Rattus norvegicus: one gene and its partners. The main gene of each other region encodes a partner of the protein of the gene in region 6 in a complex. Links are inferred from orthologs where the notes say so. Each region holds a gene or a part of one and is shown on either strand. Other genes may lie near its edges. The genes, in order: Rbmx2, Plrg1, Snip1, Snrpd3, Gpkow, Eftud2 and Rbm48.

Evidence for each region.
Region 1: Eftud2 (region 6) and Rbmx2 share a complex: the UniProt entries of both Homo sapiens proteins name them as parts of the minor spliceosome. The link is inferred for Rattus norvegicus from reciprocal best matches to the Homo sapiens genes EFTUD2 and RBMX2.
Region 2: Eftud2 (region 6) and Plrg1 share a complex: the UniProt entries of both Homo sapiens proteins name them as parts of the minor spliceosome. The link is inferred for Rattus norvegicus from reciprocal best matches to the Homo sapiens genes EFTUD2 and PLRG1.
Region 3: Eftud2 (region 6) and Snip1 share a complex: the UniProt entries of both Homo sapiens proteins name them as parts of the minor spliceosome. The link is inferred for Rattus norvegicus from reciprocal best matches to the Homo sapiens genes EFTUD2 and SNIP1.
Region 4: Eftud2 (region 6) and Snrpd3 share a complex: the UniProt entries of both Homo sapiens proteins name them as parts of the minor spliceosome. The link is inferred for Rattus norvegicus from reciprocal best matches to the Homo sapiens genes EFTUD2 and SNRPD3.
Region 5: Eftud2 (region 6) and Gpkow share a complex: the UniProt entries of both Homo sapiens proteins name them as parts of the minor spliceosome. The link is inferred for Rattus norvegicus from reciprocal best matches to the Homo sapiens genes EFTUD2 and GPKOW.
Region 7: Eftud2 (region 6) and Rbm48 share a complex: the UniProt entries of both Homo sapiens proteins name them as parts of the minor spliceosome. The link is inferred for Rattus norvegicus from reciprocal best matches to the Homo sapiens genes EFTUD2 and RBM48.

Annotation. Positions count from the first base shown.
Region 1 is NC_086039.1:132,765,021-132,769,194, reverse strand, and holds the start of Rbmx2 (RNA-binding motif protein, X-linked 2), read right to left. Parts: upstream 2,801-4,174; 5' UTR 2,794-2,800; coding exon 2,789-2,793; intron 2,600-2,788; coding exon 2,484-2,599; intron 463-2,483; coding exon 411-462; intron 1-410. UniProt on the Homo sapiens protein: Involved in pre-mRNA splicing as component of the activated spliceosome. As a component of the minor spliceosome, involved in the splicing of U12-type introns in pre-mRNAs.
Region 2 is NC_086020.1:170,716,188-170,719,603, forward strand, and holds part of Plrg1 (pleiotropic regulator 1), read left to right. Parts: intron 1-1,091; coding exon 1,092-1,241; intron 1,242-1,387; coding exon 1,388-1,489; intron 1,490-2,191; coding exon 2,192-2,294; intron 2,295-3,120; coding exon 3,121-3,229; intron 3,230-3,416. UniProt on the Homo sapiens protein: Involved in pre-mRNA splicing as component of the spliceosome. Component of the PRP19-CDC5L complex that forms an integral part of the spliceosome and is required for activating pre-mRNA splicing.
Region 3 is NC_086023.1:142,618,515-142,621,002, forward strand, and holds the end of Snip1 (smad nuclear interacting protein 1), read left to right. Parts: intron 1-613; coding exon 614-884; 3' UTR 885-1,988; downstream 1,989-2,488. UniProt on the Homo sapiens protein: Required for pre-mRNA splicing as component of the spliceosome. As a component of the minor spliceosome, involved in the splicing of U12-type introns in pre-mRNAs. Down-regulates NF-kappa-B signaling by competing with RELA for CREBBP/EP300 binding.
Region 4 is NC_086038.1:13,142,121-13,146,175, forward strand, and holds the start of Snrpd3 (small nuclear ribonucleoprotein Sm D3), read right to left. Parts: upstream 2,801-4,055; 5' UTR 2,686-2,800; intron 1,408-2,685; 5' UTR 1,392-1,407; coding exon 1,266-1,391; intron 1-1,265. Other genes in the region: protein GUCD1, read left to right, coding at 3,414-3,669. UniProt on the Homo sapiens protein: Plays a role in pre-mRNA splicing as a core component of the spliceosomal U1, U2, U4 and U5 small nuclear ribonucleoproteins (snRNPs), the building blocks of the spliceosome.
Region 5 is NC_086039.1:17,475,499-17,479,758, forward strand, and holds the start of Gpkow (G-patch domain and KOW motifs-containing protein), read right to left. Parts: upstream 2,801-4,260; 5' UTR 2,706-2,800; coding exon 2,536-2,705; intron 1,417-2,535; coding exon 1,259-1,416; intron 1,156-1,258; coding exon 1,031-1,155; intron 1-1,030. UniProt on the Homo sapiens protein: RNA-binding protein involved in pre-mRNA splicing. As a component of the minor spliceosome, involved in the splicing of U12-type introns in pre-mRNAs.
Region 6 is NC_086028.1:88,343,358-88,347,420, reverse strand, and holds the start of Eftud2 (116 kDa U5 small nuclear ribonucleoprotein component), read left to right. Parts: upstream 1-1,263; 5' UTR 1,264-1,316; intron 1,317-2,968; exon of another isoform or gene 2,969-3,047; intron 3,048-4,063. UniProt on the Homo sapiens protein: Required for pre-mRNA splicing as component of the spliceosome, including pre-catalytic, catalytic and post-catalytic spliceosomal complexes. Component of the U5 snRNP and the U4/U6-U5 tri-snRNP complex, a building block of the spliceosome.
Region 7 is NC_086022.1:31,512,601-31,516,726, forward strand, and holds the start of Rbm48 (RNA-binding protein 48), read left to right. Parts: upstream 1-1,326; coding exon 1,327-1,437; intron 1,438-1,921; coding exon 1,922-2,112; intron 2,113-4,117; coding exon 4,118-4,126. Other genes in the region: peroxisomal ATPase PEX1, read right to left, coding at 884-1,012. UniProt on the Homo sapiens protein: As a component of the minor spliceosome, involved in the splicing of U12-type introns in pre-mRNAs.

The DNA of each region.
Region 1 (4,174 bases), on a different chromosome or scaffold from region 6:
AGAGAAGGGGCAATACTGCATCTTCCTGAATGCCTGTCTGTTCCAATGTAAGCCCATGCAGAACGAAGCTCAGTAAAAATGACAGAAACGGACTAAAGTCCCTCAGACAGACTCTCAAATGATCCAAGCTTTGGGATCTCCCATGTGGTAATTCTCTGGAACCTTATCTAACCTGGGACTGAGCTAGACTCTAGCCTTCCCCATGCATGGATGTCATTCAGCCTAGAATTAAATGGTTTTCATGGCTTTTTGAGGCAGGGTCTCACTCCAAGTGATCTTCCTACCTCAGCCTCTTATAGAGGTGTACAACTCCACACCCAGCTTGAAATGCTTTGTTGCTGTTACAAAAATACTCTATGGAAGCAAACTGTTCTATGCACCCAGGAGATAGGTAACAACAGAGGACTTACTGTGAGAACACACAGATGATGTCTCCTTCTGTCAGTTCATAAGGAAGCCCTCCTAGAAGAAAACAAACACTTGGGTTCAACAAACATTAAGCAAGTGTTTACTGCATGCTAGGCACTGGAGGTACAGATTAAACAAGCCACAATCTCAAATATATCAGTCTAATCCAATGATAGAATGAGTGGGTATAGTGACAGTAGTCCGGAAGGAAAGTAATTAACTCTCAGATCTCTGTGAGTTCCAGGCAAGCCTGGTCTACACAGTGGTTTCATAGTAAAACTCTGCCTCAAAGAAAGAGAGAAAGAAAGGAAGAAAGAGGGAGAGGGAGGTACAGAGGGAGGGAGGGGGGAAGAGAGAGAGAGAGAAAAGGAGGGAAGGAGGGAAGGAGGGAGGGAAGAAGGAAGGGAGGGAGAGAGAGAAAAAAAGGAGAAAAGGAAGGGAAAGGAGGGAAAGAAAAGAAGAGAAGAGAAAGAGAAAAAAATAGTAACTCTGAGTGGAAAGGCTGGGGTCATCACTCACCAAATTAATTTTATCTTTGAATCCTCACATCCAAAAATCCTATAAAGCAGGTGATTTCCTGCACAAGACTCAATCTCATAAACAGCAAGTTTAAGTATACTATTATTACCCTCACTTATGTGCAAGCTAAGATTTATAAGGGATAATATTAAGCATTTCATAGGAAACAATTTCCCCTCCCTCCATGTTTTCCCTCAAGTGTAAAAATGGGATGGTATCATATTTGCCTCACAGGAGTGTTAGAGAAATAAAGTAAAATGAGGAATATAAAGTGCTTAACACAATACCTATTACAACAGCCTCTTTCCAAAGGTAAACTGCAGGATTTTGGTTGGGACATAAAGTGAATACAGGATAATAATATTGTCACCAGAGAGTTAAGAGTTCCCCTTTTACAAAGGCTAGTAATGTCTTATCTTGATAATATAATTCTAAAGCAGACTAAGGAGGAAGCTTGAGGTCCATTTTATTAGCATTTGAGAGAGAGCTGATAGGGAAGCAAGTTGTAAGCTTCAGCAGCTACTGGGATGAAGGAGCTGCAGAAGAAGCAGCCATGCCTTCTGAATTAGCGGTCAAGCAAGCAGCAATGCACAGAGATGGAGGTAGAGGAGTGGTTCAAGGGGATAGGAGAGCCTTTAGATTTGGAATGAGACAGTCCAAAGTGTTCCGGGCAAGCATGTTCAGGATTCCAGCCAGCATCCAGAGAATGGACAGAAAGGGAGGGCAGGGGATAAGTGAGAACTCAGAATAACAGGTAGACTTAACACAGAGACCAGTAACAACTGCACTGGGGATCATTTCCCTCCCATGTCCTTAGCGTGTCTTTAGATGACTGAGCTTTCCTGACAGGTGACTCCTGGCCAGAAAATTTAAAGCCTGTTGGATTGTCTTAAGGAAGGGGAACACAAGCATGTAACATTTAGGATTCCTGAAAATGTCCCGGTATCTACCCAGGGCCAGGGGTGTAATCCAGACTGTATTCTTTTCATCAGTAGTTTTCCCTTAATGAACAACAAAGCTCACATCCCTCCACATTTTCAGATAGCCTTTCAAATGTTAAGCAGGAGAAACCCTCAATGTCGTCCAAGCCAGTTAATGTCTGTTCTGGTACCTAACAATACAACAAAGAACTGGGAGAAGCAGCCACTTACAAGAGGAAAATAATTCTGAGAAACGGCAGATAATAGACATGCAATAAGGACTAAGAACACAGCCCTATAGTTTTGAGTGATGCAGCACCTTAAGCAAGCCCAGTAACCCCTGTGCGCCTCAGTTTCCTTGACATCACTATGGGTTGCCTGGGGAGTTAACTGTCTCTAAGCAACCAAGTGGCAAGATTTTTCATATAATGAATGGCAAATACCAATTTCTAAGCAGTATCATAGGGGCCAAGTGAAAAAGGAACCTGTGAGCAGACTAGCTGCAAGAGTGTGAGGTGACGAGCAGCGTGTTCAGAGGTGACGACCAGGGGCGCTAAACAACCAGGAGGAAGGGGGAGGAGGGGAGGGGAGGTACAGACTCTGAAAGGCACTGCTAGAGAAAAATGTAGACCTCACCAAGAAAGATCCAGGCGCTGTCTTTGTATTCCGAGTGCCAAGACACCTTTTCTGCCACCCCAAGTTGAACCTCTCGCTCATTCAGTTCGTTGATCAGCTTCACCTTAGTTAAAGGGCTGTGCGGGAGAAGGGAAAGACGTTTAAGTACATTTCCTCACAGCCCGCCTTCTACGTACCGGTCGTCTCCCGCCCCGAGGCCCTGAAGGCGAGGACCTGTCCCCGCCCTTATGGGCGGCCCTCCTCAATCCATTCTCCCTTCCTCAGAGAAACTCCCTCCCCTGTCCTCAGAGAAACTAAATCCTTACTTCATATTCGCATCTTCGCGCTCCGCTCTTAAGACATCAGCTTCCGGGTGAGGCTCCGAAGCGCGCGCGCAACCCGAACACTCAGCTCAGATTGGAGCCAACGGAAATGGAGGCGGGACTTCCGGCGCGCTAAGCCTCGGCACATGCGCAGTAACGCAAACGCGCTTTCTCACGCTTTTGCTCCAGGGGCGAAATAGTTCCCTAGTTATTCCCTGCTTCCCTTTTTGGTGTAGCTCGAAGGTGGGAACCTGGGCGTTACAGTGGATCCGTGTGCTTCTGCAGTCTGAATTAAATGCCCACAGATTTAAATAACGGATGTGGCCTTTTTCCAGAGGCAGGCAAAAATTAGCATTGTCAAATTAGTACCTAACAATTGAAGAGTTAGAGAATGTAAAGGTTCCAAATGATAGAAAATTTATGCATGTTGTCTCTGTTAGGTCTCAAACCCAGGCTAAGTCTCACACCAGTGGCTGCCCCTACCCTAAACCTCTGCCTCCAAGGGGCTCAGTTTCTGCCATTTTCATTTTTCATTCAATCTCTGTTTCTTTACATACAGGGTTTCTTTGTGTAGCCCTAGCTGTCTTGGACATCGCTCTGTAGACCAAGCTGGCCTCCCAACAACCCCATGAAATACAGTTACCACCCCTACTTTACAGAGGAAAAAAAAACTGAGCTTCAACAAATTAGCTTGAATGTCTAGGGAGGTGGTTCAGTGGTTAAGACCATTTGGTGATTTTTCCAGAGAACCTGTATTCAGATCCCAGCACCCAAAACAAGTGGCTCACAACTCCAACTTCAGAAGATCCATCCTCCTCCTCTGGTTTCTGTGGGCATTTGCACTCCCATGGCATGCACAGATATACATACACATGAGTAAAACTAATAAATCTTTTAAAATTTGCTTAACTTGAAATGTCTTGAGCTTGTACCAATCAGGTCAGGCTAATTTAATCATCCCTTATTGAGCATCTAAATTTGTTCTGTACAGTTGGTCTATAGAAGGAATCTGGAGGACTGGTTTTCTGCATGCATAGAACTAATGGTATAAGGGGAAATCTATATGTACTTGAATACTTCATATCATAATTATCATATAATTAATAATTATTCATATCACAATTATCCAGAAATCAGTATGTAAACAGAAAATAGGAGTTCCTTTTTGTGAGTGTTAGGGTCCAAGAGTAGCAGAAGAATGATACCCCCCAGACTCAAATAGTATACAAAAGCAAAGAGTGTTTATTCAGCAGAATTTCCTGCATGCAAGAGTCTCCCCATTTGGAAATGAAAGCCTAGGTGTGTGCTCTGTAGGGTCAATTTAAAGTCTGTCAGGGTAGGGTGGGTGACATTTACTTTTCTTTCCCTTGATTGGTTGGCTGGTGTGGG
Region 2 (3,416 bases), on a different chromosome or scaffold from region 6:
AGTGGCATTCAAACTTGTTTTGTAAGCATGTTAACTGCCTACTGTTGGTTCTGTGTAACTTACAGAAGTATGTTTTCTGTGATGACAGGATGAAAGCATAGTTCTCTGTAGAAGTGTGGTGGAAAGTTCTCTGAGAGCCAGACTGGTACTGCAGTTAGAGCGTCAGGTGGACTGGGTTTAGAAAGTTGGTGTTGATGTGCCAGTGTATCTACTGTTAACCCTTTATCGGTGTGTACATGGATGTACTGCTTAAGAATCAGCTTTTAAATTGCTTTAGGTCTCACTGTGACTGTAGCCGGACTGACCTTGCCGAATAGACCAGGCTAATGTTAAGTCCACAGAGACCCACCTGGCTCTGGAGTGCTGGGGTTAAAGGCAGTGTGCACCACCATGCCTGGGAGAAATCCCTAGTTTATTTTGAATCTTGTTTTTCTCACCCAGCATCATCTTGAAGGCCTATTATGAAAAGTTCAGTATTTTACATGAGTAGAATGTGCAGATAATTCTGTAACTTGTTCCCTATTGTTCAACGTCAAAGTTTTTAGTTTGATGGTTTTTCCTTGTGATAGCCCGCATTTGTTTAGACTGCTCTTTGTGTATTGTGTGTTGTAGTTTGATAGACCCTCATAACTACAAGGTTAGGACAAAAGTCTGAGCTGGTACAGGGAGCGCAGCTTTATCTCCAAAGTAGGTGAGCTGATGCTTGATCTGTTGTCGTGTAGCACTTCAGACAAGTGCAGGGATGTGACCACTGGAAACAGACAGAGGTCTGATTTTAAGCAGACATGCAGACATGTAGTGAGGTTAACATTTTTGTCCTTGGTATTTTCTGGATTAAGTTGCCATTCTCTCTGGTACAGTTAATGATGCTTTGTCGGTATTTTTTTGTTCTTTTATGAATTGGGAACAGTAACCTTGCCATATTCTGCAAATATTTACCCAGCTTCAATGTGCCTTTTCCCCTGCTTTTATTTGGAGAGGGATCATTTTAAAGAGACTTGATTTCCCCTGTATACATTTATTGTTATGTCAGTGTATTATGTTGGTGGGGGAAGTAACCAGGATAAAGCAGAACAATTACTTGATTTCAGATTTGGGACTTGGCCAGTGGCAAATTAAAGCTGTCATTGACTGGCCACATCAGCACAGTACGCGGTGTGATTGTGAGCACGAGGAGCCCTTACTTGTTCTCTTGTGGAGAAGACAAACAAGTGAAGTGTTGGGATCTTGAATATAACAAGGTAAGCCTGGAGCCATCGAGCTTGTTTTTATTCACTGCCGGCCCTTTGAGGGCTATGTTAGCTCTTTGCCTTGGCACTGCATCTCCGGGCCGCACTGTTGATGTTTCTGATGCTAGAAATTGTAACTTTTCCACTTTTATTTTTAGGTTATACGGCACTATCATGGCCATCTAAGTGCAGTGTATGGTCTGGATTTGCATCCAACAATCGATGTCCTGGTCACTTGTAGTCGAGATTCTACTGCTCGGGTAAATGAAATGTGGTTGTGTGGTTTTTTTAGGTGTCCTGTATCTTCTCATATTCAAACTTGGTATTAGTGGGTTTTTGTTTTGTTTTATGTTTTTAGGAGAACAGGTTCTTGACTTATCACTCACCTGGTCCCTTGGGATTCGTGACTTCTTCGTTTGCTATCGCTCTTCAGTTCGGTGTTTACTGTCGTTAATGTCCTGAATCATGTTGACATAATGACAGCCTCATAGTCTCAGCTGGTGGTTCTCAACCTGGGGTGTGATCCCTTTAGGGTTAGAATAACCCTTTCACAGGGGTCACCTAAGACCATGAGAAAACACAGATATTTATGCTCTGCTTCCTAACAGTAGCAGAATTGCAGTTATGAAGTAACAATGAAAATAACTTTATGGTTGGAGTCTCTGCAATGTGAGAAACTGTGTTAAAGGTTTGCAGCACTAGAAAGCTTGAGAACCACTGGTCTAGACTCTCACGGTGGTTTCCTGTTAGCTGTTTAATTCTCTAGTCCCATCTGGGACCAAGCTGATAGATGAATGTCCTGATCTTTCTGCCTTGGCCACTGTATCCCCATAGCACATGGGTCATTGTCCTCCATTTGCGCATTTCCTTCACGATGTTCAGACACACTGGTTTGGCAAGCTTAGAGCTTTGAGATCCGAATGCCTGTTCTTTTTCATATCATGTTGATTTTACTTTTACAGATCTGGGATGTGAGAACTAAAGCCAGTGTGCACACTTTGTCTGGACACACAAATGCAGTTGCTACCGTGAGATGCCAAGCTGCAGAGCCACAAATTATTACTGGTACGATCTGCTTCTCCACCCACTGCCATACCAGAAGCATCGCGCGCCATTCTGCAGCCGCCGTGAGCTCCCCCACCTCCGACTTATGCTCTAGTTTCTCTTTGTATCTTAATCATGGGTGTTTGAAATGCAGGCTTGCATGATGTTTTCTAAGATTCTTTTTATTTGCTTTGCTTTTTTATATTTTTTACCTTGTGCTTTTTATGTATTATAGGATATGTTAGGCATTGTTAATGCTGTTTAGAAAACTGCTATAAAATACAGTCAAGTGTCATTCTAGAACCCCATGTCCATCGTTTTAGTTTGAATCTTACTTGAATGACAGTGGATCTTTACTTCGACTGGAAGTTAATTCTTCAGTTGGTTTGTTTTGTTAACTAGAAATATTAAGATAGAAAGACTCATTTTGTTTCCTTCCCTGCCACTGGAGTTTAAAATTGCATGTTGGTTTTTATTTGCTATTTATAGGGTTTTTAGACTTGTATGCTTTGCCTGCATATATGTGGTGCATATATGTGGTGCCCACAGAGGTCAGAAGGAAGGGTCGGAGTCGCTGGAGCTGCAGTTACAGATGGTTCTCCTCACTGTATGGTGCTGGAATCTAACCTAGGCCTGCAGGAAGAGAAGGCAGGGCTCTTAGCCACTCTTTAGAGCCTCAGGCAAAAAGTTGCAAAGAACCAAATATAAAGTAACTGTAGTTTTAGGACTTTGAGGAAATTATTTACAGTGGTAGGACTTTCACTTAGTGTATAGATATATACAGACGAATTCTTTGTGTTTTGTTGTGTTTTAACTTGGGGATTCTGTCTGGGTGCCTTTATTACAGGAAGTCACGATACCACAATACGATTATGGGATCTGGTGGCTGGAAAGACACGAGTCACATTGACGAATCATAAGAAGTCAGTCAGGGCTGTGGTCTTACATCCGCTACAGTAAGTGTGTTGTGCTGATTAGCTTTTCTTTGTCTGTGTCTTAGTGAAACTCTAGCACCAGGAGGGGCTGTTTTCACACCTTCTGCCAGTGCTCCTTGCGGACAGACTTTCATCCCATCTGTTGCTCTCTTGCCTCACGTTCTATCTGGAATGAAGGGCATGGCCCCTCTACCTGTGACAAATAAGG
Region 3 (2,488 bases), on a different chromosome or scaffold from region 6:
GACTCCTGCTGCGGTCCTGTCCTGTCTCCACCTGCCCCCAGGGCTTTCTGAGGACCAAATAGAAATAAGTAAAGGCCAGAGTCTGGATGCCAGATAAATGCTAGCAGAATCTGCTGTTTGGGAATGCATCTTTACCATTTGATACTCAACCTGTGAGGAAAGCGGTTCAGTGGTAACATCCTTATCTAACAGGAGAGAAAACTGCAGCTCAGTACAGAAAGCAATCTTAGAGCAAAACTCTGTCCACATCTAGCCCTTGGCTCTCAGTTCCTAATTCTGTTTTCCCTTCATTCGGGCTGGTGCTGAAATCATGTGCAGTGTTGGAGAAAGTCTTTGCGTAAATAGCAAGAAGCCTCGAGTTCTGCACTGGGACCTCTGTGGCCCTCCATCGCCATCTACCAGCCACAGTCAGCTTTGCCTTTTCTCCTTGTTATGTAAAGTGCTCTAAACTTCCTTATCAGCGCAGCACTTCCCTGTGATGTCCTAGAGTTTTCGTTTGAATCCTGTTCAAGCCAGGCCACTGATGTGTAAATCTGTAGCAGAGAGCTTTAAAGAAGGTAGGTGGTCTCTGGTAGGACATGGCTCACACACTTCTCTCCTTGGTCTCTCCTAGGCTTGTGGAGTACACCCGTGCTGATGGGACGGTTGGTCGGAGGGTGAAGCCCTACATCATTGACCTTGGCTCAGGCAACGGAACATTCTTGAACAACAAGCGTATTGAGCCACAGAGATACTATGAACTGAAAGAAAAAGATGTACTTAAATTTGGGTTCAGCAGCAGAGAATATGTCTTGCTTCATGAGTCTTCAGACACCTCTGAACTTGACAGGAAGGAAGATGAAGATGAGGAGGAGGAGGAGGAAATGGTGTCTGACAGCAGCTGAGAAGCAGCCTCCACTATTAGAAACCGTCCCTACCGGAGGCCGTGGGGTGACTCCAGCGCCTCTTCTTGCCTTAAGTCTTTCCTCTATTGCTGCCCAGCTTATGTTGCAGTATGAGAGCTGTCACTTCGTGTTTTGTTGAACTTGGCACAGCAGCGGCCTGCCTGTGGGCGCTTGTTTTCAGAAGAATCTCACCAATTACAGCATGTCGAGTTTGGTCAGAGTGTGTGGCTGCGGTGGGTGCCTTCAGAACTGCTGCCATAGGAAACAGCCCTTGGAAAGGGGATTGTGACTTCTCTTTGTACAGTTTCTTATTTATATAGTTGTTGAGCTTTGTGAACCAGGAGTTTTGTTTTGGGGACAAACCCTAGAGTAGAGAATCTCAGTCAGCTTTGGATGTCACCAAAACAACCTCCAGCATATACCAAAGCTTTGACCTGGTTCAGCTCTTGAGTCACAGAAGTTGGTTTTGCACTTCGTTTTTTTGGGGGGTGACAGTTTACCACGTGACCTCTTTATTGGCTGTCTGCGATAAACAGACACTGTGATGCCTGTGTAGACATGACTGTAGGGAGGTCATGGCTTCTACTGACAGGTGCTGGTGTCATGTCATACACTGGGCTGTAGATCCGCATCCTCTGAGGATTCCTGATTGCTCCATGAAGCAGACATAATGGTTTGATCATCTGGTCTTTTCTTCAGCTTTGCATTTTTATTCCGATGTCACCTCTCTTCTCCCTTTGAGAAACACTACACTGACTTTCTGGGCGGGGCCTTGCTGGGGTCTCTGGGTGTATATGTGTCTAAAGGAAGTCATGTAGCTTCCATATTTCTGCTTCATCTTTGACCATGTGTTCGTATTCAACTTCCAAGGGTAGAAAGTAAGGGACAGCCTAGGTCTTCCCACCTGGGGTCTGTGTGAGTAGAAAGATACTCCTTCCTTCCGGTCTGTGTGCTTCAGAGCTATGTGCTGATTTTCATATGACAGTGTTTTGTGATATAAATAATACCACATGATAGGCAAAGGCCTGTCTGCATTTGGAGAGCAGGTTTTCATTTATATGTATTTTTGAGATTAAAAAAATAAAATTTGTAAATATAGCCTCATTTTAGAGGGTATTACTTTTCTCACATAAATGACTTGTTCATAGGTGTGTTTGTTTCCAAAGGAGTCTGTGTAAACTGTTTTGAGGTAACAGTACTATGTGTGTAGGGAATTGTAGGGAGAGACCTGAAGTACTGAACAGGAACTGTTTATCTCAGCAAGGAGGGCATGGGTCATGAGCTGTCCGGAGGACTTGTGTCAGTGCTGTGCATTTGGTGACAACATCAGGACCACTTCCTCCTCAGGTGGAAGTGATCGTATTACCTGTGCTGCTCTTAGCTTCCCTGAGGCTAGGATTCAGGATGCTGCTGAGTAGATTTTCTTGCTTGTATAGTCAGGGGGTCACTTGTCCTCAGGGCTAGAGGCTGGCCAGGGCAGGAATGTACTTCACAGAGACTCATACAATCCCTACTGTGTCCAGAAAGCACATTGTACTTTGGGTATTTTTCTCAATTCAGACAAGGTTTTCTGTCTGAGATTCCATAATAATTGTCCTCCTACT
Region 4 (4,055 bases), on a different chromosome or scaffold from region 6:
AAACATGAGAGCCAGTCCACTTCTGCCTCCAGTCACTCCTCTTACTTGGGGAAACTTGCTCAGCATCATGCTGCAGTCTGAGGCTCCTTCTGCTCAATCTGCCTTCCTTTCTCTGGATTGAAGACTCTCCTGCTACCATCATTACTATTATCGACTTAATGGATTTAGAATTACTGAAGGAAGGGACAGGCACGTCTGTGAGGGATTATCTAGATTAGGTGGAGGTCAAAAGTAGAAACTGGGCTAAGCGCAGGCACTAATCTCTGCTTCCTGATTGCACATTCAATGCGACTATTAGCCTCCTCAAGCTCTTGCCATCACACCATCCTCTGCAACAGACTGTGTCATCACACTGTGAGTCAAAATAAATTCCTCCTTCCGTAAGTTGCTTTGGTCAGGAATTTGATCACAGCAACAAGAAAAGTAACCAATCACATGTGCTATCCCGCTCGGTCACTGACATCCTTCTGCCATTTCCCCAACAAGTCTTTTGTGGATTTAATTCTGGGTTGGCATTTACAGCACAGAGGATCCAAAACAACTCCATTCTCATTTTATAGAGGAGAGAACGAATGGCCAAGGTACCCCAGGTCCTATAATTGTGGCCCAACTCAATTTGAAATCAGAGAATTCTCTGATTCCAAAGCTCAAGTTCTTAATTAATGGGAGAAAAAAAATCCAAAACCATTTATCAAAACTCTGGTAGTTTTATCAGATGAACTTTCTCCAAGACAAAAGTAAACACACACATATGTGAGCAGAAAATTCTGCAAACTATAAACTGTGCTGGGAAGCGGACTCCGGTTCCGAACCTGACCTACTCTAGGAGCCGAGACAGACAGAACAAGTTAACATAACTGGTTGTTTTACGGACAGGTACTCGGCAACTGCATTTGGATAAAGGCTACCTGAAAGCACACATAGACCCAACCCCAGAGAAAACTAAGAAGAGAGGCGGGGCTTTTAACTCGGCCTTTTGACTCCCCACCAAAAGCAGTGTGGTCTTGTTGTAAAGCCCACACTGGCCTAGAACCCTCGAATCTACCCCAGCCTCCCAACTGCTGGGACATTCATGGACTACCACATCAGGCTGTCAAATGACTTTCCTGTCTCAAGACTAAGTCTACATTGACATATGATCTCACAGCCTGTCAGAGTGCCTGACAGGTAGTAACTGTCTGGTAAGAATAACTTCATTAAGACCTTTTTATCCCCCAGGATAGAAGCCACCGTTCTTTCACAGCCCCGGGTGCAAAGCAGGATACCTGGCAGTTCATGTTGTCCTCTGCCTCAATGAGCTTCCCCCGATACACTTCACCAGTGTTGGTCTCACATGTCACTATGTGGCCTTCCGCTTCGTGCAGGACTTTAATTGGCACACCGATAGACATCTTGGCAGGACTCTTCCTATGGGGCAGTGAGAGAGACAATGGTTACCTTTCGGAGCCTAAGGACTGGCATTCCACAGGCTCTGCAGATTCTGTCACGGCTGCATTTTCTGTGGAAGGAGTCTGGCTCTTGGTTTGAAGGACCCACGACGGCAAGTTAGCCCAACATGTAGGGTAGGGAAGGATGGTAAACTGGACAAAGAAAGCCAATGAATGGGATCAGAGTACCTCCCTTCTTTTTTCTTTTTTTTTTGGTTCTTTTTTTTGGAGCTGGGGACCGAACCCAGGGCCTTGCGCTTCCTAGGCAAGCGCTCTACCACTGAGCTAAATCCCCAACCCCGAGTACCTCCCTTCTCACCCAGTCATATGTCCCTCTCTTTATAATCATTTAAACAACTATGATATGGACCCCGACCAAATAACTGTTTACACGTAAACAAAATGCAAATGAAAACAAAAAAAATCTGTCCCTCAGCCACACTAGTCATATTCCAATCACTCAGCAACCGCATTTGGATAAAAGCTACAGTACCTGATAGTACAAAGAGACCTAAACCCAGAGAAATCCAGGAAAACAGGTTGTGCTTTACAATTTAGCTTTTTGACTCCCCACCAAAAAGCAGACCAAAAGCGTCACGGCAACATGCTATAAACAGGAAATGCTCATCATTCAGGGAAATAGGGTAAACGCTCGACTTAAGTCTCATTAAAAAAACAAAGACTATGCGCAGGGCTTTTACATTTCTGAGACGGGAAACGACACTAGACGGAGCACACGGCCCATTTTCATGAGAAGACTATAAGGATGCTAAACATGGTGAGGAACCACGGCTTTCAACTTTAGGAGAGTGCTGAAAATGGTAGGGAAACACTACAGGATTATAGGCAAGGGCTTAAAAAAAAACTAGTAGCATCTACAAAGTGGATTAAACATATAGCAGAGCAATCTGCTGAAACGTCTGCAGCAGCGTGCAAAGCAGGAGGGGAGGCCAGTACAGGAATGGGAGTGGCGCAGGGATGAAAAGGACGTTGAAAACGAAGATCCGGAAGGCAAGGAGATAACTAGCAAGAAAGGACTGCCTGTAAGCTTCGAAAATCGGTGACCTGGAAAGGCACAGAACGTGCTGGCTAGGCGTAAATAAATAACTGTTCCTAGGATTAGTGAGATGATATTTGGATAGGCCCTGGCTTCCCGCCCTCCGCTAAGCCCCGCTGAGCTCCTCCTCCGCGTCCCTTTCAGCTCCTAAGCCTCTGGAGAGCCCTGGCCTCCCCTCTCCCGTTAGCCGCCTCTCCTCACCAACTAACTGCAGGCTTTTTTTTTTTTTCGGTCCCGGCACAAACGTTAGAAGGCGAAGGCTTGAGGCGAGGAAACGACGGGCCCGAGTATCACTCACACCACGCGCTCCCAGAATGCCTTGCGCAGGCCCCTCCCTTTCCTTTAGGCCTACTTACCCTTTACTCTCACTTAGCCGGCTGGGGAACCCAGGCCTCTAGCACTATAGTTCCGGCACTGTGGAGGGCCCGAGGACCGCCGGAAACATCAATCCTCGAGCCCACAAAGGAACATGGGGACCCACGCTTACAGAGTGCTGTAGTGACGGATTGGGCAGGATCTGGGCTTGCGCCCAATGCTCTGGGTAGACAGGAAGTGAGGCTTGGATTAGAAATTTAAACTTTGGATCCGGTCACCGTCAGGTAAGGGACACACCGAGCCCTGGGAACTATCTTTATTCAAGGTCAAAGTAAGAAGACCTAAAGGGAGTAGGAAAAGGATTCTTTGGAGTCTCGACGAGGCATTGCGAAGGACCAGAGCCTACAACTGAGGCTGCAAAAGAGCAGACCTAGTGGCGGGAGAGTGCTAGGTTGTTTGTGGGGAGCCAACGTCGCCCCGGGAAAGGCTCTGGGGGCGGGGGCTCGGGCAGGGGCGGGGCTAAGGAAGGGCGGGGCCGCCGGAGCGTTTAAGGGAAGGACCGGCCGGGAGCGCAGTCTGGAAGAGAAGTGGGTAGAAGGGAAGAGGTGTGGCTTATGGAAGGGGCGGGTTTCCAGCGCCCAGACCTGGAAGGGATTAGGCGTGGCTTGAGGCGGCCTCGCCACCGCCTACCCGGGTCTGAACCGCGGTGGCCGCGGCGACGGCGGCGGAGGAACTCTACGCTCACTGGCCGAGCTCTCCGCCCAGCAGAAATCGCAGCGGCAATCAGCTCCAGGCCGGGGCCATGGGCGCCCTGCGCCACCCGGGTCATGAGAACGGAGGTAGAGGCAGCGGGGCAGCCGCTCGAGCCGGGTCAGTGCCTCTCTAAGGGGGAACCGAGGGGGGGGGGGACTCCGCCCTGGAGCCGAGCAGGGTCTGGCAGCGTGCGACCTTGGGTCGTCTGCGGCCTCAGCCCAGCCTGGAGCCTCTAGTGGGTCCTAGCTAGGTGGATATTCCTTCTCATCTCTTATCCTCAACTTATGGTTGTTCTGAGTCTCCCGGGGTTTGAAGCCCAGGGAGTTCTGAGAGTGGTCAAGTGGAAAAGTCCAAGGGGCAAAAAGGCACAACCTTGCTCAGAAACGAATAGCCCTGCTTGAAGCACGTTGGGTGATCCTGTTTCCCGGGGAGCTGTGGAAAGCCTGAGGCCGGGAAGGGGGGGAAAGAGGGGCCTGAGAGCACTCAACAAAGGGGCGGGAAAG
Region 5 (4,260 bases), on a different chromosome or scaffold from region 6:
CACAAACATTTTATGAATAAAAGCTAAAACACTAGCCAGGCCCATTTAATTACAGCATTCAGAAGGCAGAGTGAGGTGGATCTCTGTGACTTCGAGGCCAGCCTGGTCTACATAAGTGAGTTCAGGACAGCCAGAGGAGCTCTGTTACACAAAGAAACCCTATGTCGAAAAGAAAAAAGAAAAAAAAAAAAAAGCTAAAACATTAAGAAGCTGAGCTCAAACTTTATTTCTACAAACACATTTTCCATCTCATCTGTTGTCATTTCTTCATTCCTTTATCATTACTCGGCACACTGCAAGATGCCTCAGAACTGATTTCCCACAAGGGTGGGTTTCTTGGGTTGTTGCTGCCATTCGGAGTCCCCAGTCTGATCATTCTTCTCTCACTAAATGTTAACTACCCTTCCAGTTCTCACTCCAGTCACTTCTATGTGTGTGTATCCTTACGACCTCTATTCTGGATTAGTCTACTCCCTTCCTGCCCTACCTTCACTTCCTAGTCATTTTTGGTCAGGGCAGACAAAGGGGACCCTGTTCTAACCCTGTCTGCTCAAGACTTCCCCTTAGCTCTCACTCCACTCATAGTAAAAGACAAAAGTCTGCTCTGTGGGTCAGAATGCCCTTTCTAATCTGGCCCCCTCTGCCTTCATCTACTGCCCACTCCCTCCCCATTCATTCCAATCCAGTAATAGGTTTCCTTAGTGCTCCTCAAACACTGCAGGCTAAAATCAGAACAAAGAAAAAAGAAAGAGGAAACAGACAAATGTGGTTCCAAACAGTGTACACCCTCATGGCATTTGTATTTCCTGTCCACTTTGTTGTCTACCTCATTCAGATAATCCCAGCATTCACGTACATTTTTAAACACCCTGCTTTCTGTTTTGTTAATGCTTCTAATAAGGGTGGAAGGAGGAAAGGCTAATTGGCAGGGCTTTGGGACATGCACACACACTTTCCCTGCTATGTGCAAGGAGACTAGGCAGACAGGGTAGAAGGAATAGTGTAGGAGGGAGGCAAAGGGACAGCTCACTGTCTCAGCCTGAGGTTCGCTGTATGTTCCTTCCCCAATGGGAGTACATCCTTTCTGGATCATGGGGATAGTGAGCGTGGGGTCAACACCTGCATTCTCCCTCTCCTCCAGAGACTTCTTGGATTCTAAGGAAGAATGGGAGGGATCAATGAGGCCATACCCTATCCTTCCAACTTCTTCCCCTTCTATCTGCACTAGGGCAGAGCAAAGAGGAAGGTTTTCACTCACCCTCAATGAGTTCCTTCACAGCCTGGGACAACACACCATCTGACGTCAACACGGTGCTTGTTTCTGAGGGCTTAGGGTTCTTGGACAGCAGTTGCCTGCGAGAGCCATTCTGGATCAATGGGATAACCAGCTCCTTTGGAGCTTCTGGAGGGTTCACACTGATGTGGATAGAGAAAAAGGGTTGTAGACATATTAGAAAGTAGAAATATCAGCCGGGTAGTGGTAATGCATGCCTTTAATCCCAGCAGCACTCAGGAGGCAGAAGCAGGAGGATCCCTGAGTTCAAGGCCAGCCTGGTCTACATGGAGAGACCCTGTCTTGACACCCCCTCTAAATAAAGTAAAAATATCAAGAAACAAAGAAAATAAACAATGGCCAGAAAGAAACAAACAAACAAAATAAATATCAATGCCTAGCCCTATGGACCATGTTCCACAGGTTACTATTAAAGGTCCACTCATCTTTTTTGAGACATCTCACGATGCATCCCATGCTGGTCTTATAAACTCTCAGTCAACCTGGTACAACTTCCTAGTGCTGGAAATACAACCAATACAAATGTATCATTTCTCTCCGGGGTCCCAGCTTTAAATGTGTCTTGTGCAAATCATTCTTAGGCCTTAAAGCATAATGACCTACAACTCACCACCTTTAGTCTAGCTTCTTAGTTCCAGGCCCATAAACTGCCGTTTAGAAGTCCCCCACTTAGGCCTCTAGGATCTTCCTTTCTTAATTATACTGATGATGGCCTCCCAAAACTTGACTTTGCCTCATTCTTCAAATCGGAGAAGCACCCACCATTTCAGTTGAGACAGGAAGAATCCTGTCATTCTCCCTCCTTTCCCTTTCTTAAAAGGCACACGACTTTTTCTCTGAGGAATTTATATCTCTGATTCTCAAGCCCCATTTCATCCACATAACAAACCTCCCTCTTCTTGCCCTTATTTTAGTAATTTCTTTGTTTTTTTTTTTTTTTAATATAGGCTCTCAAATTGCCCAGGTTGGCGTTCAATTCTTGATCCTCCTGCGCCAGCCTCCCAGGTCTTGACTTACAGGCATTTGCCGCCACTCCTGGTTACCTCCATAAATTTCCCGAAGCTGTTTCAGGCTTTCCAGGCCACTGTCACCAGCATAAATTTCTCTTACTCTGCCCTCCCGCTTAAGCCCATTTCACCGATTTCTAAAACGTGAAAAGACCCGGCGTTTCACCTTACTCTGCCCTCCCGCTTAAGCCCATTTCACCGATTTCTAAGACGTGAAAAGACCCGGCGTTTCACCTCTGCAGCTCCCTCCCTTCCACAGTCGCCAAGAAATCTTTCTTCTCTGGGGCCTGTCCTTCGCTGTCTCCGAGGTCTGCCAGTCGCCTCCGGACAGATGTGCGAGTGAAACCGAAAGAAATCGGAGCTGTGGACGCGGCAGCCGGTGGCGGACTCTCACGGCCCGCCATCTTGGCTCGAGTCCCAGGCGAGCGCTCTGCCTGCTGGGAAGTTTAACTCTAGTACCTTAAGGGCCGCCCAGGAACGCCAGAATCTATCCCAGAATGCAACGCCTCAAGAACAGGTGCCTTGAAGCCGTGGGAAACAGGAATTAGAGCTTGGGAACTCTTTAAACGTCATAGTAAGGTGCCGTACTAAGCATTCCGGGAAATGTAGTTCTTAGTGGTGTAGTCGCGGTGGAAGATTGATTAGGTTATTCCTGGGTATTAAACCGTTAGGAATTCAGTTCTACCCTCTTCCGACATGTACGCACACGATGTACATACAGGCAAAATATTTATATATACAAAACAAAATAAATAAATCTTGTATTTGACAAGCACATAATTTAATGTGCTTTTCCACAATGTGAATCTTACTGATGTAGAAAGTGTCAATAAGGTGAAAAACCAGGATTGTACCTGGGATGTGGTTCAGTTTGCAGTGCTAATAATTTAACTTAGGGCCTCGTCTAGGGAAGCACTGTACCATTAATCTGTATTCCTTTAATTTCTTTTTTTCTCTCCCATTCCCCAGTTTCTTATGCTTTCTTGTAAAGTGCCTTTGTTACACATAATCTCTATGTTGCACTTTTCTAACCCTTTTGAGCTTTTGGATGAGGCAGTGTCTTCTGGTTTTTGGCATGAAGAGCCAGGACCTTCTGGGTTGAAGCCTCTTTGCTTGACTCAGTTGCTTTTTTCCCCCAGCCAGAGCAGCACAACTGTTCATACTTAGCCCCCATATTTTTTGACCAAGATAACATTACAGATTTTCCATAACAGTGTTATAAATTATCCAAAACAGGAGATGAACATTTGTATAATGTTGCTTCTTTTTAATCACTGAGCCACACCCCTATCCCTGGGTGCGATTCTGTTAATTAAGCATTTTTTCCTTCTAGGATCCAGTTTTGATATCTCATACACTGCAATATAATTGTATGCCTCCTTTGTCTTCTGTAGTCTTTAGTGCTAGTTTTTTAGTCTTTGTCTTTACTGATTTTTCTTTTTTTTCTTTTTTTTTTTTTTTCGGAGCTGGGGACCGAACCCAGGGCCTTGCGCTTGCTAGGCAAGCGCTCTACCACTGAGCTAAATCCCCAACCCCGTCTTTACTGATTTTTAAAAATATAGCTCAGTTATTTTGAAGAACATAACGCCAATAAAGCTTGTTGTGTTAACTTTTCGCTATTAGTCTGAGGTTATAAGTTTGGGACAAGAATTTCAGAGGCAGGGCTAGAGAGATGGCTCAGCAGGGGAGGAAGGGGCCTATTGTACTTTTTCCCCATCAGTGATGGTTTGACGAGTTGCTTTGTTTACGAGGACAACAGCTGTTAGCATTTACTCTAAACTCTGTCCCACAGTTACTTGGCAACAGCTAGGTGTGCCAAACTGACTATAAAAGCGGCTGCTTGCCCCCTCCTCTCTCTCTTGCTCTGTTCTCTTGCTCCTGCTCCCCCTCTCTCCTCATTCCTCTCCCTTCCCTCTCCACATGCTCATGGCTTGCCTCTACTCTCTCTCTCTCTCTCTT
Region 6 (4,063 bases):
TCCCTAGCAAACCACAAAACCACAACACACACACAATCTGGTGCTTCAGCTGAGGGGGCAGTTTGGAGTTCAGATTTCTGATTCTTCATTCTTTCACCTAGGACTTCTCTATATCAGGTTATTACCATAAAGGAAGGAACACACAGAGAGAGAACAGAGAGAGGAGGGGGCTTCTTTTATTATCTACTCCTGCTCAGGAACAAAATTTCACACTTCACTAAATGTTTTTAATGGAGAAAAAAAATCACCTAGACCCAAAGCAATGGCAACGCAGGAAGTTGAGAACTATCAGAGGGAGAAAAGCTCAGTGGCCTTCCTTCCCAAATCCCTGACCAGGGGAGGGCTGCAGGCAAATGTGTGGTGGCATTATCTCCAGTCCTACCACTGAAGTTCTGCCCCCTTCTGGTGGTATGTGTCCGATGGGGCTGTTTTCACAGGAATCTATGTGTGCCTGTCTGGGTTCTGACATTTACTTATGATACCTCTTTCCACCTCAGAATCCTGGTGAGCGGGTGCTGCATGCTGTAGTTCACTCAGGATCAGCCAGCCCTAGGGCAGGAAATGAGCTGATCCGCAAGCAAATCCACAGCCATGCCGGATCCCATCGATGGGAAGTGGAAAGCCAAGAAGTGGGCTGTGTTAGCCAGCCAACAATTGTACTCAAGTGTCTCAGATTCTATGCAATATTTTGGGGTGGGGGAGATCTCGCTATGTAGCCTAGTTCTCTCCAAAACTTCTGAGCTCATGATGTTTCCTCTAGGCTCAGCCTCAGGAGCGATAGAGACTATAGACTCTCTCCATCCCGCCCACTTCCCTGGCTAGTTCTAAGCCTTCCCCTAGAGTAATCCCCTTTACTGTCCCCAAACCCTCACCCAGTAGCCCCAGTCTTGGACCTTTTGCTTTCTTTTGAAAAAGCCCCTCGATCTGTTAGAACGAACACCTTAGAGGATCGCCCAGCCAACAGCGGTTGTTGCCTAGCAACGGCGCCACTAGCCCGCCCACGTGACCAGCCCGAAGGCCCTCCCTTCGGGCTGTCCCAAGGCGCCTGATCAGATCCGAGACTCCTCCGACCGTGCGTTTTTCTGAAACAGTTCACGCTTCGTTTTGAGGATCAACAAATTGGCTTTTCCAGTTTCTGTCTCCAAGCCAAAATTCCTCGAAGCTGCTCCTCAGGCAGAGGGCTGTCCTGCGAGGCGAGGCGATCCGGCGACGCGCTCGGGGTCCTTCCTGGCGACGGGCGCCGGCGTTGTCGCGGCGTGCGGCGGAAGCGCGGGCTCAGGCGGCGGACTAGTGGCCCTCGGCTGATCAGGCGGCGGGTGAGCTGGCCGGGAAGGGTATTCTCAGGGGTTGGGGAACCAAAGAAACCCGAGTTTGGGAAGAGGCGAATTATGCCTTTCGCTTAATCAACGCGTAAATTGAATTCTGGCGTGGGGAAGGGAATGAAAGACACCGACCCCCAACACACGCTCACACGGTCGATTCCAGCGTTTCCGTGGTCCCCGGCGTGGTTAAGATCCTGTGCCTTAGTAGAGGTGGCGCTGTAAATACCCAGACCCCTGCCACTCCCCCTTCTATCGGTCCCTGCTTCACAGCCAAACTGTGTCCGTCTTCAAACTATTCTGCATCCAAGCTGGCTGTGATAGCTGGTGCCTAATTCTTCCTCGCTGGAGATAGAGGCAGGAATATTGGTGCAGGTTCAAGGCTAAGCAATGGGTCTGGTTCAAAAAGCCAAAACAGAAAAGATTTCAGCATTCCTTTGAGGATCTGTGTTGTAGCGGGAAGATGCAGTTCTAGTATTAGGGACTAGCTTTACTTAACTAAGCATGTAACTAATTCATCCTCCCACCCCCAACAAACAAAACTAGCAAAACGTATTGAAGGCCTGTTTTGTCCCAGACACTACTGTCATTTTTTGCTCCGATTTTTATTATTAACGTTTGTCAGTAGCAGATATACACCCATGTATTCCTAAGTACTACTCAGGCATAACCTTGATTTATTAGGCTGGGGGTGTAACTCGGTGGAGAAGTGTGAGGCCCAGAATTTGATCTTAATCACCCGACCACACACTAAGATTAGTGTAAGGCTGGGTTGACAGGTGTATGTGGAGGGATTTTTAGCGTGGCAAATAGGTGACATTAAAGGAGAGGGGTGAGTTAAATGAATTAAGATATAAATAGCCAGAGGACAATGGGAATGACAATAGCCCTGAGGCAGAGATGAGCTTGGCTTGTTGAGCAAACAACTTTCTTTGAAAATTTGTGCCATTTTCTGGTGGGAGTCTTGAGCATAATTGTGGTGGCCTCTTAGAACTAAAAACAATAGTTACATCAGAGTCTCCATAATGACTGACATTTAATTACCAGTGATTAGCACTCTAATTCTGCATTTTATTTATAGTCATTCCTCACTGAGGTATTCAGTCTACAGTAAGAAATAACAGAATTTCAAAACTGAACATTCTACTCAGTTAACCTTACTCGGTGTCTGTTTGTGCAAGGTGCTGCCTAGGGTTTTGGCGTGTGAACACATGCTCATGTTTTATGTTAACCAACATTTGTTATTTGTATTTTTTTGGGGGGGGGGTTCTTTTTTTCGGAGCTGGGGACCGAACCCAGGGCCTTGCGCTTCCTAGGCAAGCGCTCTACCACTGAGCTAAATCCCCAACCCCTTTATTTGTACTTTTTGAGACAGGGTCTCTCATATCTCAGGATAGGATCGTGGGTATAAGCTCTCATGCCCAGCTAATCTTACGTTGTGTGTTTCTCTGTGAGTATGTTTGCAAATCTCTCTGGTGAATGAGGATCAGGTGTGCTGTGGCTTGCAGGCAGAGGTCAGAGGACAACCTTCAGGGTTTGTCCCTCCACTCCTGACCTGTTTTGAGATAGGATCCCCTCGTTACTGCCAACACCAGACTGACTGGCTCTGAGCCTCAAAGAATCTCTGCCTCCCATTTCCTGTAGGAAATCGCAGACACTCACACTACCAGATGGGGCTTTTTCGTGGGTTTCCAGGATTGAACCCAGGCCGTCAGACTGCATAGCTAGGTACATTCATCGCCTTTCTAAGGTCTTAGGCTGTGATAATTCACTCTAGGGAGGTAAATGCAGTTCCACGAGTTAACATCATCGTTAGAGATGAGGCTGAGATACGATGATGGAGTGAGGTCGATGGAGCGAGGTCTTTAACTCCAGGGGCCTGATGCTTTTCCCCTGCTTCGGTTTTTGTTGCTCACAAACTGTAGAGGAGTTGTTGGTGAGAATAACAGTAGTCACCTAGCATTTGGGACAGAAGATACTGAAGAGAGTGAGAAGTGAGAGGCTGAAGGGCTAGGAAAGCTTGAAGGGTGGGATCTAAACTGTTCCTTTGAGCAGGATATCAGTCACTGAAGTGGGGGAAAAATCCACTGGAATTGCAGACAATTGTAAGCTAATGTGTGGATGTTGAGACTCGAACCTGGGTCCTTTGAAAGAGCAGTAAGAACAATGAGTTCTTAATCATCACTAAGGGAAAATGAGTACTTTTATAACAAGCATGTCCGCTGTCAGCATAGTTGAGGGCACAGCGAGAATCATCAGTGAGGAATGGTGTACCGCTAAGAGCAGATGCAAATCCACACGAAGGGATTGCTGATACAAAGCATTGCTTTGTGGTCTGAAAATGTCAAGTCGTGAAAGTCAAGACTAGAAAGCCATTCTAGATTAAAAGGATAAAGATACCTCAGGGTGTGTACAGTCCTGGTTTATGTCCTTAGCTGTATAATTCATGACTGGAACAGTTTTTCAACTTGGCATTAGGTAGAATAACCTGCTGGTATTGATGTTTTTGTTTTGATGATTGTATTGTGATATTTTGAGAACTTTTTTTTTAAAGTAAGATGCTGGAAAGATGGTTTAGAATTTAAGAGTAACTTCTAGGCAGCCATGAAGACTTGGAGTCAGATCCTAGCATTCACATGGCAATCTTCATGTTCCCAAAGGATCCAATGCTGTCTTTGGAGACATGTGTATAAAATTATACATAGACAAACAGACACACACACACACACACACACACACACACA
Region 7 (4,126 bases), on a different chromosome or scaffold from region 6:
ACAGTGAACTAAGCTGGAATTTGGTGACAGTGACTGATTCCTTTTAGCCAACAGAAAGCGAACTAGACAGTTAAAGAATATTTAATATTTGGTGAAGACAAACTAATTAACAATAGGAATAATTCCGATGAAATTGGTGTGTTTTGATAGGCGGACTGTAAAAGCAAGATAAATCAAAGAGGAAATAAAGGTGGAATACAAGTCATTTCAAACTCTTGGATATTTCTTTTATGAGCCAGTATTCCGCTACCAAGCACCTAGGACTTTAGATTTCAAATAGTCTAACCCCATGAATACACTCAAACTAGAGAGTCTGTGCTCACTCTTAATAAAACATGGAGGCTGTCTCTCCACCGATGGAGTAATCCTGGCTTCGCAGGTGAAAGTACGAGGTGTGAATAATTCCATTGCCTTGTCACCCCCCCACCCCTTGTGGTGTCCGAAGTCCTCCTAAGCAGGGAGAGCTGTCACTTTATTAACCTTTGGCACAGGTTGGAAACCTTGGTAATCTACCAATCAAGTCTGCCACTCAATGCTTCTATGGCTGCACTGGCAACTTGTTGGCAGGATAACGCTTTAGCAAAACCAGTAAGAGCTCTCTAGAGCTTTCCATCCTAGAGTGAGGACCGCTTCTGAATGCTGAGGCAGAACCCTAGTATGTTCAGTCTGGTTTAACCGAGTTAAAAGGGTGCCCAGTAGGGTCTGGGGATGCACTAGTCGGGGTGTAGGTGCACACACTGCCTCCCCACGCCATGCCCGCAGAGGGCCCTCGCTCACGCCTCAGTGCGGGTTCGGTGGCAAACACTGTCCGGACCGGGAAAGGTGTCAGCGAACACTAGTCCCACAAGACATCGATGGTGTCCGCGTCCGGTCATCGCGTTACCTGCAGCAGGTGAAGCTGGGCCACGAGGTGCCGTGGCAGATGGAGGAAGCAGTCCCGAGCATTCGTGAAGGCCACCGTCACGACCGCCCCACCAGACCCCGCACCGGCTAAGCGATCACTGCTCCACATTGTCCCAAGGTTCAACTCTCGCCGGAGAGCCGAGTCCGCCGGCTTCCCGTCAGGCCAGGGCGTCGGAGCCCGAGAACATCGATCGGGGCCGCCCCCCTCTTCACTCGCCTGACCGCTGTCACTCTCGGATCGCTCCTCCGAGGCTCTAGGGGGCGGCACATCGCTCGTCGAAGTCTCGCTCTCCGGAAACAATCGTCGATGGGGTCGATCCTCCAGCCAATCCTAACACGCTTGGCCCATACTGCTCTCTCATTGGACACAAAGGAGCACCGCTGGCGGATGTTGTTCTGGCGCGGGGGCTTGAAGCCGGCAAGATGGCCTCCAGTGACGGGAAACCCGGTGGCATATTCGACCACCACGTCCAGACAGCTGTGTGTGACTCGCGGGCCAAATACAGGGAGGGCCGACGCCCTCGCGCGGTCAAGGTAGAGTGACTTGGGTTCCTTCTCTCTCCTCGGCAGGAGCATTAACTTCCTGTCAGCACTAGCTCTCCATGGCCTGCCTCCATAAAGGCACGGCAGGGATGCTGTCAAGTCCATCTCTCAGTGGAGGGGGCACGAGGAACAAAGTTTATCGCTGTTGTCGGTTTACTGCTTACTCCACGATTTTTAGCTTTGCATCCTATAATACAAGGACAAGGTCTCACAGGACAAGCCCTGTTAAGTGACTGTTTACATTAGCTTCTCTGGGGTCAACTTTGGGAAAAGACGTCTGTTTAGTCAGATACCCTTATGTGGAGTGTGTTATTCTTTAGGCAGAAAGAGTGACAGTTTTGTGTGTATGTTTTGCAGACCATATTGAGCAGAGTATTTCTTGTTTTCAAAGCTCCATTTAAAAGAGGGATGGGAAGACAGATTTGCCATAGGCTTGTTTGAAGAGTACGTTTAACGGGCTCTCCCCCGACTTTAGGTATATACCATCAATTTGGAGTCTCAGTACTTACTAATACAAGGAGTTCCTGCAGTGGGAGCCATGAAGGAATTAGTTGAGAGATTTGCTCTCTATGGTGCGATTGAACAGTATAATGCTCTAGATGAATACCCAGCAGAAGATTTTACAGAAGTTTATCTCATTAAATTTGTGAAATTACAAAGTGCAAGGTATGTACAAGTTAAGCAGAACTCGCGTCTTCTATTCCTGTTGCCGTCATTTCGGCCTCAGGATTTCCCAAACAGACCCAAATCACATGAGCACTTCTCACTCTCAGTCTTCCTGATTTGGGGGTTGGGGAGCAGGGTTTATTTGAATAGCTTTAGCTGTGCTGGAATTAGTTCGATAGACCAGGCTGGCCTTGAACTCAAAGAACCCTTTGTCTCTGCCTCCCGAGTGTTGGGTCCAAAGGTGTGCAACACCCCATCTCGCCTTCTGGTTTAGTTTTTACCAGGCCTCACATATGCAGTCAGTCACTCTAACAGTGAATGATATCCCAGCTCTTCCTTCTGATGTTCGAAAGGCTGACTTTACAACACTTTTCCCATCCTGTGCTTGATGGTTTCTGAACCTGGAGTGTGGTAGATTTGGGAGATGAGGAATTACATTTGAAGCACATTTCCAGTCCTATGGCTTCCTGACTTTGGAGAATTTTATTCCTGCCAAGCACATTTTTTTTTCTTTTCCTAAAATCCACAGGGCAAAAAGGTCTACTTCTTGAGGTTCACTGAGGAAGGATGAAATGAAACAATTTATGTAAAAGGATTAGACTGGTACCTCCTATTAAGAGTAAATATTAGAGCCAGGCAGTGGTGGCACAGGCCTTTAATCCTAGCACCTGGGAGGCAGAGGCAGGTAGATTGAGGTCGAGGCCAGCCTTGTCTACAGAGCTAATTGCAGGACAGCCAGAGCTACCCAGAGAAACTGTGTCTCCAAAAAAACAAACAAACAAACAAAAAAAACCAAAAAACAAAAACAAAAAGTAAATATTAGTAATGACAGTTCTTATTAGTATGGTTCTATGTTAATCAACCTTGTATTCCAATAAGACTGAAGTCAACAATGCTTTATTTTATGTTAACCCTTTGGGTGGGGGAGTGTGTGACTGTAGGTGGGTGCACGCCTGCGTGTGTAAAACTTGCTATGTAGGCCAGCTGACTAGAACTCAACTTCCTCCTGAATCTGCCTCCCCATCCCCACCAGGTTTAAAGACATGTACCACTACAGTGTACTCTACCCTATGTTTTGAGACGAGACCCTTATTGAAACTAGAACTCATGGCTAGATTGGTTGGCCATCAGGCTCCAGTGGTCTTACCTTCTCTATCTCGCCAGCACAGGGATTATAGGCACAGTACGGTGCCTAGTTTTTATGTGCACGCTAGGGATCTGAGCCTAGCTACTCAAGCTTAAACAAGTACTTTTTCAACTGAGCAGTCTCCCTAGCTCATGTTAGCCATTTTTTCTTTTTAATCATTAACATGATCTAAACCATATCCTTCTCTGGCTTTTGCCATTTATAAATGTTTTGGTGGAAAAGGGCTTCAAATCCTCTGGCACTGGAGTTACAGGTGGTTGTAAGCTATCCAAAATGGGTCTGGGATTTGAATCTACTCTTCCCAAAATCAGCAAGTGCTCTTATCACCCACCTAATTATCCCTCCAGCCCCTGTGTTTCTTTTGTTCGCTACTCCTAGTCCACCACAAAATCACTTGACTTCAAAAGGCCATGTGCCTTTTCTTACCAAGTGGGCAACTCTTCGTGGTATAGAGAGCAGATTCTCTAGCGCCTTGTATCTCTACAGACCCTGATACAGTTGGCTTTGGAGTCAGCCATCTGAGTTGAATCCTAGTTTTATAGATGAATGTATGTGACCCAGAATTTCCCGGTGCCTTGGTTTTACCATGAGATGGTTATGAGATGTCAATTTAAGTGGCACACTTGTGGCTTTGCATGGAGTAATCGCTCAATAAACATTAATCATTATCTGTAGATACAGAAGTACTTAATTACTTACAGTGCTTGGTTCAGCATAGGTGTTCAGCATTTCTTTTTTAAACATTATTATTTCTCTTATTTTTATGTGTATGTGGCGTGGCTATTTGTTAATTGTTTTTGAACCATGTAACTTATGCATTTCTTTAGCATTCTCTTTAAGTTATGCATTTCTTTTTAGGATAGCTAA